4 separate regions of the Mus musculus genome follow, and regions 2, 3 and 4 are each reported to be linked to region 1. The links are microRNA targets in miRTarBase. Many come from high-throughput screens and were not tested one by one. Region 1 holds a microRNA gene; each other region holds the end of a gene's coding sequence.

Region 1 (3,151 bases):
TTTCAATTTGCGTCATGAAGACTGACTATGTAGTCATCTATGTCTTCATTCTTATGGGTCTGACTAACTTTAATCAACTAAACTTGCTTCTCTTATATGTATTCCTCTGAATAGGTGTGAACTGGAACATCAAGAATGAAAATGAAATAGTCCCTTACCCAGCTTAAGGACTGACTTCTCCATCAATCCTGGAAAACAGTATTTATAATAATCTATTAAGTCAGTGCACTAGAACTCTTTAGCCCCTTTCATGGCTCTTTTCCAGTGTTCTTGGGTTATGTGAGGTCGGATAGGGCAATTGAGAGGCTATGGATATCTCTAAAGTGTCTAGCTCTCCTTACAGCAGATGATAAGCAGAGATGCTGTCAAGAAAACCAAAACCAATAACCCATTACTCCTTTCTCTTTTAATCACTTTCCTTGGCTTTTACTAGCTCCAGAGTTGGAAATAAGGTCTCTTTAAGCTCCCTTCTAAAAAGCTCTAGAAGTCTCATCCAACATTTTTCAAGACCTTGAGATGTAAGATTTCTGTCTCTATTTCTAGAGAAGACAATTGATGCCCAAGAAAACTTTAAACCTGGGTAGGACAAAATTTGATACTATCAAGCATTTTGAATAACAGGATCATGATGCTAAACAAAATATCAAATAAATTGAGATGGCTTGGCTCTTCTGGCAGCTGCCCTGGTAGCTATGAGTTCAAACATCTTAATACTTCCCTGCAAAATCCACTGCCTGTTTTGCTCTTTGTTGCTGTTGCTCTCCCTTTTGCAAGGGAATATAAAAAGCAGACAAGAAAAAGTGGTGGGGTGGACAGCCAAGGGACACAATGAGCTGATGGATGATATAATTCCCAAACTGTAAACAACTTGTTTTATGACCTTTTGGAAGTCTTTCCCTAAACATCAGACTTCATTTTCTCATTTATAATCTTGAATGGGTAAAACTAGATGACTTATAAGGGCATTTTAATATCATTAATTCTTTACTGCTTATGAGAAAAGGCAACCAAGTTAGACAAAGCCGGCTAAGGCCACAAGAAATTACTGTTTCAATTCTGTTAAATAAATTATCTATCTTTTCCCCTGTTAGTATCTATCTTATATGTTTAATTTTAAAGCACATTTTAGTCACTTTTATTTATGTACAGGGGATCAAATACAGAGTATTGTACAAGTTAGGTAAGTGTTCTGCTACTGAGTTTTATCTCTAGATCTTGATTGTTTACTTTTTTGTTTGAGAAAGGGTAGTATTATATAGCCCAAATTGACTTTAAATCTGAGGTTCTCCTATCTCTGTCTATGAAAGCTTGTATGCACACATGTACTATCATACCTGGCTATAGCCACAATTTTTGAGTATTTGTTAGGTAACAAACACTAAATTAATGGCTTTATATGCATTATTACATATTCTTGCCATGATTTCATGGGCATTTTTGTGGCTATGGAAGAAGTAGGTTTCAGGGACATAAACTCATTTATTTAAGGTGTTCAGCTAGTTAATGGTAGAGGTAGAATTCAAATCCAGTTTTAAAAATCAACATCTAGGTACATAACCAGGGTAAACAGAGCATACAAGAAGTTGATAGGAGGAAGGAACACATAAATTGTCCCCGAGGACAGAATGATGACAATTTTTTCCTGTTTCAGCTGAATAGAAGAGTTAATTGAGGCTTGGGCCACCAGAATCTCCAGACAAACACCCAGGATCCCCGTTTTTGTTTGGAGCATTAGCGTGTTTTGTTCACTTCCCTCTTTTGGTGTGTCTTAGTCAGTCATGTTAGTGTCTGCCATTTGTCTCACACTTAGGGTAAGATATAATCACCCTATTTTTTTCTCTTTCCAGTTGCACATCTTCCAGCATGTTCTTGCTGCCCAGTGGAGGTTCCTGATCTGGCCATCTGCAGTGTCACGCTCCGTGTATTTGACAAGCTGAGTTGGACACTCTGTGTGGTAGAGTGTCAGTTTGTCAAATACCCCAAGTGTGGCTCATGCCTATCAGCTCCAGGTCCAGGACAGAGCACATAGCCTGCTGCCTACATATGAATGCTTATGAAACATGAAGCTCTCTGGTGTTATTCTATGTCTTTAAGGGAACTATAACATTTATTCAGAGAACATCAGAGTAGGAACGATGCAGCTCTGGGGTCTACAAGTCTGGTATGCATCTGTGTACATTGTGAAAATGCCATGGACTGCATAGTGGTACATGAGGGATACAGGGAATGAGAGTATTATTTGATTTATTATTAATGTCTTCTTTCACTTTCCTCTTCTTGCAGCCAGAATAGCAGAATTTTCATACAAGCATCATGAATTCTATGAGAAAGTAGGAAATAAATATCCACTGTCTGGCCTTCGGAGCACATCTTAAGCTACCTACATTTTCTCTTTTCCACTTTGCTTTTATCATTCTTAAAAGAACCTTCTTGTTTATCTTCATTGGGCTTTCAGACACTACCAAATTCCAATTCCTCTTGGCACTATTGAAAGTTAACCTATACTTTTCTTTACTCCTTGGCTAACCACATACTGGTATGTGCTATTATATGTCCTACCATCCAACACATCTTCTAAAGTTGTCAGTGAATTTTTCCAGGGTATGTTCTTGAATTCCCTATTATATTGTAAGAATCTAGAGCTTATTATATTCAGTTGATTGCTGTCTCTCATACCATTGTCCAACATTTTAATTATTAATAAATATTTACCAATTAATTGATGTTTTACTAGTCAATAACCTTTTGCTATATAGGTCAAATACCAACCAGGGTTTTGCGAAAAAAATAAATCAAACTGTGGGTATTCTAATGCTATAGTGTATACAAGATGGTAACCAAAATGGATTTTTTTTTCCTCTGAGAAATAAGATTTAGGTCTGGGGCAGGAGGGCAAGAAGAAAGAATAGACTCAGAGGGAAAAATTTTTTGAATTATTGGTTTACACGTGTCTTTTTAAACAGAATTTTCTGAGCCTTTAATATTCTATCATTGCACTGGGGTGAACTTCTAATATAGAACTATAAAATGAAGCATCTCCAATCCCTCTCTCCAGAGTCTAACATTTCATAACATATATTTTGGCAAGCTTCTTTAGAGAAATTCCATACTCTCCCTTGGTTCTGGAGAAATTCCATACTCTCCCTTGGTT
Region 2 (3,151 bases), not on the chromosome of region 1:
TTTCTAAATAGGGTGAACTGTGTAAACATGGTTTTTAATGTCTTGGTGAATACACACTTCTCAGTACTTAGAGACCATATCCAACTTTAACATCCAACTACTACTTTATGTAAAAGTCCACGGCATGTGATGTTTTATTATCAAATATAGACTATTTACTGTTATTCTGTGCAATTCTGTATCCGACAGGTCCTCAGTCACATGGGTCTACAAAACCTCAGAGCAGAGGTGGACCCATCTCTAGAACCAGGCAATGACCACAGGGCAAGTGAGAACCTGCAAGGTTGCAGCAGACTTGGGAGCACATGGAGGCTTTTCATGCCCCAGCATTCAGGCACCGGATGATGCACAGCTCCTGCAAACAGCAGCTTGGTCCGTCAAGTTATCTTGGTACAAGTGTCCGAGAAATACTACAGAGTATCTGCCAAAGACTGCACTGGTAACTAACTGTTCTGCATGCAGTTACTGTCTTCTTTCAGCTTTAGTTAACCTACTCCATGGGGCAGTAAAGATTGTACCCAAAGACTTGACAATGGAAAACCACCCCAAATCACTGCTCATGTTGTCTGTAACTAATCACCAGTTCAATTCTTGTACAATTCAGTGAGATTACATACACACAAATGATTCAGATCACTGGGTTCAGAATATTTCTGTTTATATTGATTCCTGGAGAACTGCACTCAGTTTTAACATATTTTTAGGAGAAAGTGCTGCCAACAATCTGATATATTCATCAAATAAATGTCATTCCTAAACTTTAAGTTCTTTATTACATTTTAGATGTATTTTTGTGTGTATGAATGGCGGGGAGGAGTATAGTCAGTGCTGAACTAAGATCATCGAACTTGGCGGGGTGGGAATGGGATCGGTGCCTTTATCTGATGAACAACCTTGCTAGCCAAGCCTTTTCGTTAAAAAGCAGAATGAATTAAGACCTAACTAAAGGTGTCAACACTGGTGTAAACTAATGTTTCTTCCCTAGATCAGCCTCACATCAGGTTTGTGTGCTCATGTTTGCAATTGTGTGTGCGTGCATGTATAGGCCAGAGATCACTGGGTGCCCTTCCTAATTGTTTCTCATGTTTTGAGATAGGATCTCTCACTGAACTTGGAGATCCTCATTTGTGCGCAAAGACAGGTTTGTTTTGCTTTGTCAGTGGTATGAACTCGGTCTTCATACTTGTAAGCACTTCACTGAGCCAGTTTTCCATTCAAAGAGCAGTGGAACTGGAGGGCTTCCTCTAGTAGCACCAACAGCTCCTCAAGCGCTGGGAACGCAGCAGTGGTGTTAACTGTGGCTTGAGTCTGTCTTATTAAAATGCCACTATTGCCTTAATTATCACACCACTTTGACATTACTGATTTTCAAAGTGGCTAAATTCAAATGGTTGTCCACTGAAGGTGACTTAAACCATTCCAAGTTCTTATGCCATGAAATAGATGTTTCAAATAACCCACACTGAGTTATATATTAAATACTTCTATTGTACTTGTGATCACAAACTAAATGTGTGATGTGTCCACCTTAAATTATAATGCTCAATGGAAAGAGGCTTATTACTTGCACGATACAAATGAAGACTTGAACAGTCTTAACAAATATACCACATACTATAGTGAACAGTTATCAACTCAAGATGTAATGAGCATCTTTCTCAGAAGTCTGTACAATGAATACACTGTTATCAGATCTACATTCGTGGCCTTTCTGAGCAGCTATGACTCAGAGTACCCTCAGGTCATTAGCCTAGTTCCTTACCCTTTTGTGTATGTGTCCCCTTAAAGCTAGTTAGTATTCATCTTCAAAAAACCTGATTATAGTTTACATAGCAAATCGCAGGCTAGCTAGAGCTACATAGAGAGACTCATCTGAAGCCACACAAAACAGTTCAAAACACATAAAAATCCTGCTGTACTTAATAAATGCAATTTAATGAATTTGGCTCTCACTCTTGTAGATAAAAAGTTCAAAAGAGGCCAGTGAAATGCCTAAGCCTGTGACCTGCAAAGACAGGATGTGTGCCAAAGCCAGCCTGTCTGTTACAATGCTGACTAGGTTACTTAAGTCCTTTAAATAAAACACTTTATCTTCATAGACCAATGGAGTCATTTAAATAATCCACCAGACCTTTGTCATTTCTTCTTTATTTAGCATATACAGTCTTATGAAAAGTTTGCAATAATATGAACACTGACGTCTCCTACTGCAAGGACAGAAGACAAAACCTAACAGTAGACCAAGAAAAGAAGATCCGTGTAGGATTAAGACCCAAAAGCACGGTAGCATTTATTTAGAAGTCAGCGGTTCAGCAAGTGTTCTGAGGATGTTCTCCATAGGTGGAGTGTTTCTCGTCAGTGCATGCACAGCAGCAAGAGAAACTAATATTCTAAATAGGGGCCCACAAAAGCAAATGTCAGACCCACCCTCCCAACTATCACCACTACACATCCTTCACATGAAACCCTCACACAGTGTTAGGCGAATTCTAGAAACTACTAAGATCAGGTCGATGAACCCTGCTCGGCTTAGGCGGGACAGACAACTCCTCTCAAAGGTTACATTAATGGCTGTCATCATTTTGTCTACACTGTACCACTGACACATAAGGACTCAGGAAGAGAAAAACTCCATCATTTCTTTTCCTTCTTGAGTGCTGTTCTTTTCCCTCCTTTGGAAGGTTTGCAGTATTTTGCTTCCATTTGAGCCAGAAAACTGTCCATTTCCTTTTGCCGATCCTTTTGTCTGCTCTGTTTGAGAAGTTAAAATATAGCTTTCAATATGCAACACTGAGACAAAGCATTTCATCATTAGGAGGGGTTGGAGTAAAGCACCCCAGTGACTAACAATGGCTACGGGCTTCCTCTGTGGTGGTGACAGCTGTACAGCTTGGAGCGGGGGTGGCAATTCTCTGACTTGTACATTCTCAAACCCCAAAAAGATGCTATAAATTATGTGTAAGTGTACCTTAAAGGAAAAACAAAGCAAAAACAAAAAAATCCTGAAATACATTCCAAACAGTGTACAAATAACTGTGAGAGGGGCCTGTGAGGGGAGCCTGCCACCTTTACCTGGATGAGTGCTTTCAAGTTATCCACTCCTTCTTCCAGTCCCAGCTCCTTTCTGCTCAACTCTGCTTCTTTAGCCTCT
Region 3 (3,151 bases), not on the chromosome of region 1:
GCTTGGAGCTTGCTCTGTAGACCAGGCTGACCTACAACCCAAGAGAACTGTCTGCTTCTGCCTCCCAAGTGCTGGGATTAAAGATTTAAAAAAAAAAAAGCATCCTTTTTATATAATATAAAATGACATTACATTATCAGTAGTTCAAAAGAAGCCCTGGGTATTGACGGATTTCATGGATCGCAAAGACAAAAGTATGAAAATCTTTTCCTTCTGGCTCTCGGGAGAAAAAGCTCAGCTATAAGAAGCTGGGAAAGACACAAATGTGAAATAGAAAAAACGGCTTTTGGTATTGATGTTTACTGTAGAAATATCAAAACACCGATTCTACTTAAGAATACAGTTCTTTTATTTGGTGGAGTGGTTGTGACATGGTCTCTCTATGTAGCCTGACTGTCCTGGAACTTACTATGTGGACCAGACTGGCCTCAACTCAGAGATTCTGCAGCCTCTGTCTCTCCTACATCGGGATTAATGGTGTGCACCACCATGCCCAGCCGAAAATGCAGTTCTTTAACATTTCCTACAAGCCAGATGTTTTTCACTAGGTGTCCCATCAAGTTTGGAGTTAGCTGGGACGCTCCTGTCCTGCACTCAATGTTCCTTTGTTCTTCCCTTCTACCCAGCATACTCCATGTGACTTCGCTATCCCAGCATGCAGGTCCCGGGCTCCCTGCACACAACCTTCCCTGCCTTTACCTGGAGATGCGCGCCGCATGCCGCTTTTGTTACAGACTAATTACGCTGTCAATCTATGACACAATATTACAGACGTTTCTAAAGACGAATGGTTGATTAAGTCTTCATCTCTGACATAAAAGTCACCTAGAAATCACTCTAAAATATCATATTCAAGTGTGTAAGGAAAAGGTTAATGTTATTTTGATGAATTCTGAATTCATTCAACTGCTAAATCACAGGATACGAGTCCTGGACTGAACTTTTTAAAAAATAGTTTACACGGGCAGACTGGTTTACTGTGCAGTTTCCTGTCCTGTCAAGCCCCTGGCAAGCTGGAAGGGAGGCAGGAGGACACTTCCCAACATCTCTGGTCCTGCTGGAATCCCATGGTTTCCTGCTGGATGTGACACCAGCCCAGAAGCTGACTGGTAATGAACAAAGATGTGAAGAAAGATCATAGAAACTAAGAAACAGCTGGGTACTGTCAGGCACTGCCACAGGGAGAGAGAATACAGTCAGAGGTGCCAGGAAAATGCCTGGACCAACGAGAGAAGGAATTTTAAATGACTGCCTACTTTCCAGTGAAATTCATATCCAAGAGGAAAGAAAGCTTCCAGATTTATCATTACCCTCAATAGAAAGTAGGACAAAACCAAAAGTTGGCGCCATGGAGGTAAAACCCAGATGAAAACCGAAGTCTCTTGGCATGGTCTCCCAATCTGAAGGGGCATGCCGGACAATGACATTTACATCTAAGTTATTTTACTGAGATAAACATAAGTTCAAACTTGAGTCTTGTACTTTAAGACAAGGAATCAGAAATTTGCTAATCGGTAAAGAAAAACAGCAGAAAGGCCTTTGTGAAGCCCCACGGACCGGAGAGAAGTGTATAGAAGGTAAGCACACACACACATCTTTCACTGGTAAAGACAGCCAGGGTGGAAGATGGTTAGAAACCAGTGTCAGACCAGAGAGCGCATGTTGGTCCCTTTTTAAACTGCTCTCCTGTAAGTAGTGTTTGGTTCTCTTTGTAAAAGAGATTACTCTGAAGTCAGTCCTTCTTCAGCTCTTAGATTCCTAAGAAATCAAAGGGATGCACACTTTGTGAAGTATTTTGGGAAAAGAGGCGGGACTTAGAGACAGGAGGAGCCATCAGCTACACTGTCTGGAGGGGGCAGGGGTAGATAGCCACTGTTGCTGTACTTCATTTTTAAAAATAACATCTGGGGTGTGTGTGTGTGCGTGTGTGTGCAAAGACCATAGCACACATGTGGAAGTCAGAGGACAACTTTTGGGAATCGGTTCTTTCTATCCTGTGAGTGCAGTGACTCAGACACAGGTCATCAGGCTTCGCGGCAATTGCTTTTATCCACTGAGCCATCTTGCTGGCCCCTTACTTCTAACAATCATAAATAAGATCATCTGGCAGCTGTGTTTGAAATAAGATACACACAACTTCATGAATTAAATCCCTTATGATGAATGACAAAATTAAATCAGAATTAAAAAAATAAATTTACTTAAAAAGAAAAATGGGAAAAGATTCATAACCTGACTGCTGTTCCCTTAACTATATCTACTATGAATTCAAATTATGAGAAATCATGTACTGTCCCCAAAGGCCATGTCACTACAACATAGGAACTCTAAGTCATTGGCATCAACTTTTGAAATGAAAGGAAGGAGTGGGAACCAATGAGAGAAACCCTGGCAAGGACACAGAGTGAGCAGGTGCTTTGGGCGTCAGGCTCTGGCGGATGAAAGACTCTGGTCGTACACTGAAGGAGGATAGATATCTGGTCAACCATCTTGGCTCCAAGGGGAAAGAAAACAACTGGCAGGTTCCAAGGAGGGAACACCCTGCAGCCTCCACACAAGTCTCCTCCTCTCATCGCAGGAGCACGTGCTCCGCACTTCAACGAGGTCTCCTCAGGAGGATTTGCTGTCAGCCCAGAAGTGACGATACAAGAAACCTATAAGAATAGCGCCCACGATGGGGACAAACCAATACGCCCAGGAACTGGAAAAGAAGGAAGAAAAAGCAGTATGTTAAGAATATTCTAAGCAAATAATTGAATGTTTTTCAGCGCTTATGTTTAATATACATGAGACAGGGGTCTTGATTTATCTTGATTTTTCTCTTAATTTAATTGCTTTTACCATAGAGTATTTGAAAGGAAAAACAAAGCCAAGTCTACATTTATTTGTGTATGTGCAAACAAGTGCCCAGGCATGATGTATTTGTGGAGGTCAGAGGACAACGTGTAGGAGTTGGTTCTCTCTTTCTAGCACATGAGAACTTAAACCAGCAGACTTGGCAGGGGTCTTCTTGTTAAGCTAACCTGCAGGGCCCTAAAGAGCCCCTTTAAAAAAAGATGCTAAAAATAAAAAGAATCTGATATGCAAGACATGGTTGTGTGCTTTTAATCCCAGTACTCTGGGGGGCAAAAGCACGTAAATCTATTGAGAG
Region 4 (3,151 bases), not on the chromosome of region 1:
CATTGAGTCTCTTCTTTTCTCGTGTATCCCTTCTGCTTTTCCAGGTCAAGCTGGGAACTGCCTGACTTGAGGGAAGGGAGAGTAAAAGCCATCAGTGACTCAGACGGGGTGAGCTACCCATGGTACGGGAACACGACAGAGACTGTGACCCTGGTTGGCCCCACCAACAAGATCTCCAGGTTCTCCGTCAGCATGAATGATAACTTCTACCCCAGCGTGACATGGGCAGTGCCAGTGAGTGACAGCAATGTGCCACTGCTCACAAGGATCAAGAGGGACCAAAGTTTTACCACATGGCTGGTGGCCATGAACACCACCACCAAGGAAAAGATCATACTGCAGACCATCAAATGGAGGATGAGAGTGGACATTGAAGTGGACCCTCTTCAGCTGTTGGGGCAGCGGGCCCGGCTAGTGGGCAGGACTCAGCAGGAGCAGCCCCGGATCCTGAGCCGGATGGAGCCCATCCCCCCTAACGCACTAGTGAAGCCCAATGCCAACGATGCCCAGGTCCTCATGTGGAGGCCCAAGCGGGGACCACCTCTGGTTGTGATACCTCCTAAGTAAAAGCAGACTGCCCAACTGTGTGTGGAACACATGCCACTGAGACCCGCAGTGGGGTGACCAGGGGTGGCAGGAGCCAAACTGAGTTTCTGAGCCAAAGCAGACCCTCTTGGTGTGCCAGCCTTTGCAGCTACTTGTGATGAGTACAGCTGTTCCTTGGGCGGTAGAACCATAACCCTTAGGAAAAGCCCCTTCCTCTTAGGAATAAAGAAACCACTGATTTGATAGACTTGCTCTGATTACCGTGCAAGTAGCCATATTTTGGAGCTGACCAGGACGATTCTTTTATTTGAACTATTGACCATTTCTTTCCTGTGAGACGCAGGGGATGGAAATGAAACTAAACGGTGCCTGTGGCAGATGCTGCTTCCCAACCAATTAGAAGCGAGAGTGAAAACATCCACACCAGGTGTTCGTAAGACAGTCTCCTTGTGTGACTGGAGGGTGCTGGGGAATTGGGTGAAAGATCCTGGGTTCTGGGGAGAGAGGAAAAGAAGGTGTTACTACAGTTTAATGACAAGTGTTAGCTGGTGGTCAGATTGTCAACACACCCCCTGGAATGAGAGGGACACTTAGAAAACAAAACTCTGTTGTGCCCTTTGAGGGAAAAGCTGTTTTGGAACTGTCCGAGGTGCTGACGTCAGCAGCCCCCAGTGGAGACTGGCTGCTCGCATCCACTCACTCGCCTCTTTCCAAAGAGATTGCTCATTCTAAGTGTTGCTAGTTACGGTATTGGATATACAGTTCCTGTTTTCTGTAGTGATTATGGTGTTGGGTCTCTCTTGAGTTTTTAGTCACTCAATCTGTGACTTTGTTTACAGCCACTGATTCTTATCGCCAGCCCTCAATTCACAAAGATGTATAAGCCTCGTGTTCATGTAGGGTGTAGGGAATGTCTCAACCAATGAGAACAACATTCTCAATATTGAGTTTCTGAATTGTTCAGACACAGGAAGGGCACACATCTGTGCACACACCCGGGTGCTCACACACCAGGATTTAGAAAGAATAACAACTAGTCTTGCCGATAGTGCCTGAATATTCATTCATGGCCTTTAAGCACAAATAGTACACACACTGTATGCCCACATAGGTTAACTTCAGCTATACTTACAAAAATTCAACGTCAACTGCTTGTCCAGTTGTAGATAAGAAATGTTCAGACTTCTTTAGTGAACGTCTGAGCCTTAAGCAATCTTGGGTTGCTGAGATCCAGCCAATAAAGATGAGAAGCAATTTCCCTTTAGTCCAGCAGTGCAAAACTTTTTAAAGAGTTTCCAGTGTTTACAGTGGTAAGATTTCCAACCCTTTCCACCTAAGTCACCATGCCCCGCCCCACCCTCACTGAAGAGCTTCCCCTGTTATTCTCAGCGGTGCCGATTGTGAGGTGCATCCTTTCTTGTTGAGAAACAACTCGTGTAAACTGACTACAGAAGTCTCACAATGGTGTATACTGAGTAAGTAGATTTTTTTTAAGCCTAATTTCAGAGGTGAGAGATTTCCAAGTTCAGGGCCATTATACAAATCCTGTCATTGACTCCAAATCTTCCAGAGTTTGGGGACAGAGAATGCAAACCTTTCTCATTACTCTTGTTTCCCATGCACTGTAGTCTAATTTCCTTCATGCTCTGATCCCAAAGGATGCTACTCAGAGCAATATAGCACTAACTTCACATTCCAACCATTGGCTTCTTTCACCTAGATTAGTTACTGATGGCAAGTTAGTTACAGCAACACATTAATGGTGCATTGGTAACATCGGTGAGTGGCAAAGACTCTGGAAATAAGTCAGCTCCTAACTTGGCTTTCCCATGCTTCCCTACTTTTTAATGGCAGCTGACCTCAGAGACCTACAGATTGAAGAGTAAAGTTGCTTATTTTCCATGCTAACATCAGAAGCAGCAGTCTCTCCCTCACATTGAATCAGATGCCATTTTTATGAGATTTGGGTCAATGGATGCTGATCTTGGAATCTAAGCCATGTAGCCCCACTTTAAGAAAATCTGATTTTTTTTTACATCTAAAATTGTAAGAACAGATGAATAAGTTTATATTAAAAATTCTATGGAAGGTTTCAGTCTTTAAATGTTCCTAGCACGTTAAGATATGACTCACACACTTATATTTACATATAATATAGCTTTTCAAAGCCTTGTCTATAGTTAAAAGCAAGGTGCAGTATGCTTACCTAGACTTATTCTTCCTTAAAAAGAATCAATTCAGATTTTTAAAATAAATTACCCCAAGGCAGTTTCCTGGAGAATGAGGTAATAAAAATTGAGGAAAAAAATATATGAGAAGGGACTCCTAAAAGCTAAACTATGCAAATGTGCTTTACCGTTGTTGTGTGTCTCTTCTGCAAACCCTACCGTTGGGTCTCTCACTTCTGAAATCAACCTGCCAGAACACTCAATTGCCCAATAGCCAATTATGTTAAAATTATCATTGTTTTACAAGGAGATGGCCCCTTTTTTCACTATCTGTGGATCATTGACTTTTAGTTTAGTCAGGACATTGTCAAGCAAAAAGGATCTCTTGTAGGACAGAATTAACCTTGAGGTCTCTGGTGGGAAGATTAACCTGTATT

The links. Region 1 holds the annotated microRNA mmu-miR-223-3p (UGUCAGUUUGUCAAAUACCCCA, at 1,961-1,982, shown strand). A microRNA usually pairs through its seed, bases 2 to 8, with sites in the 3' UTR of a target mRNA and lowers its output. Matches are read on the target gene's strand: a 7mer-m8 pairs with bases 2 to 8, a 7mer-A1 pairs with bases 2 to 7 and ends in A, and an 8mer does both.
Region 2: the mRNA of Dnajc9 is a reported target of mmu-miR-223-3p. The part of its 3' UTR that is shown has no 7-base or 8-base seed match.
Region 3: the mRNA of Cyb5b is a reported target of mmu-miR-223-3p. The part of its 3' UTR that is shown has no 7-base or 8-base seed match.
Region 4: miRTarBase lists Fam78b as a target of mmu-miR-223-3p. The part of its 3' UTR that is shown has no 7-base or 8-base seed match.

Annotation. Positions count from the first base shown.
Region 1 is chrX:96,240,924-96,244,074 of GRCm38, forward strand. It overlaps Mir223 (microRNA 223), which reads left to right and starts at 1,894; the gene lies at 1,894-2,003. F630028O10Rik (RIKEN cDNA F630028O10 gene) reads left to right here. Exons shown (of 3, transcript NR_030718.1): 3 at 115-2,719.
Region 2 is chr14:20,382,728-20,385,878 of GRCm38, forward strand. It overlaps Dnajc9 (DnaJ heat shock protein family (Hsp40) member C9), which reads right to left. Exons shown (of 5, transcript NM_134081.5): 4 at 3,073-3,151; 5 at 1,911-2,751. The coding sequence ends at 2,635. It overlaps Fam149b (family with sequence similarity 149, member B), which reads left to right. Exons shown (of 14, transcript NM_001024512.2): 14 at 190-764. The coding sequence ends at 257. Among named protein-coding and RNA genes, the nearest start is that of Dnajc9, 4.6 kb to the right of the region's middle.
Region 3 is chr8:107,183,128-107,186,278 of GRCm38, reverse strand. Cyb5b (cytochrome b5 type B) reads right to left here. Exons shown (of 5, transcript NM_025558.5): 5 at 1-2,701. The coding sequence ends at 2,611. Among named protein-coding and RNA genes, the nearest start is that of 4930517G24Rik, 21 kb to the left of the region's middle.
Region 4 is chr1:167,078,493-167,081,643 of GRCm38, forward strand. It overlaps Fam78b (family with sequence similarity 78, member B), which reads left to right. Exons shown (of 3, transcript NM_175461.4): 2 at 45-975. The coding sequence ends at 567. Gm33610 (a long non-coding RNA gene) reads right to left here. Exons shown (of 5, transcript XR_865715.3): 5 at 960-1,040. Among named protein-coding and RNA genes, the nearest start is that of Gm33610, 25 kb to the right of the region's middle.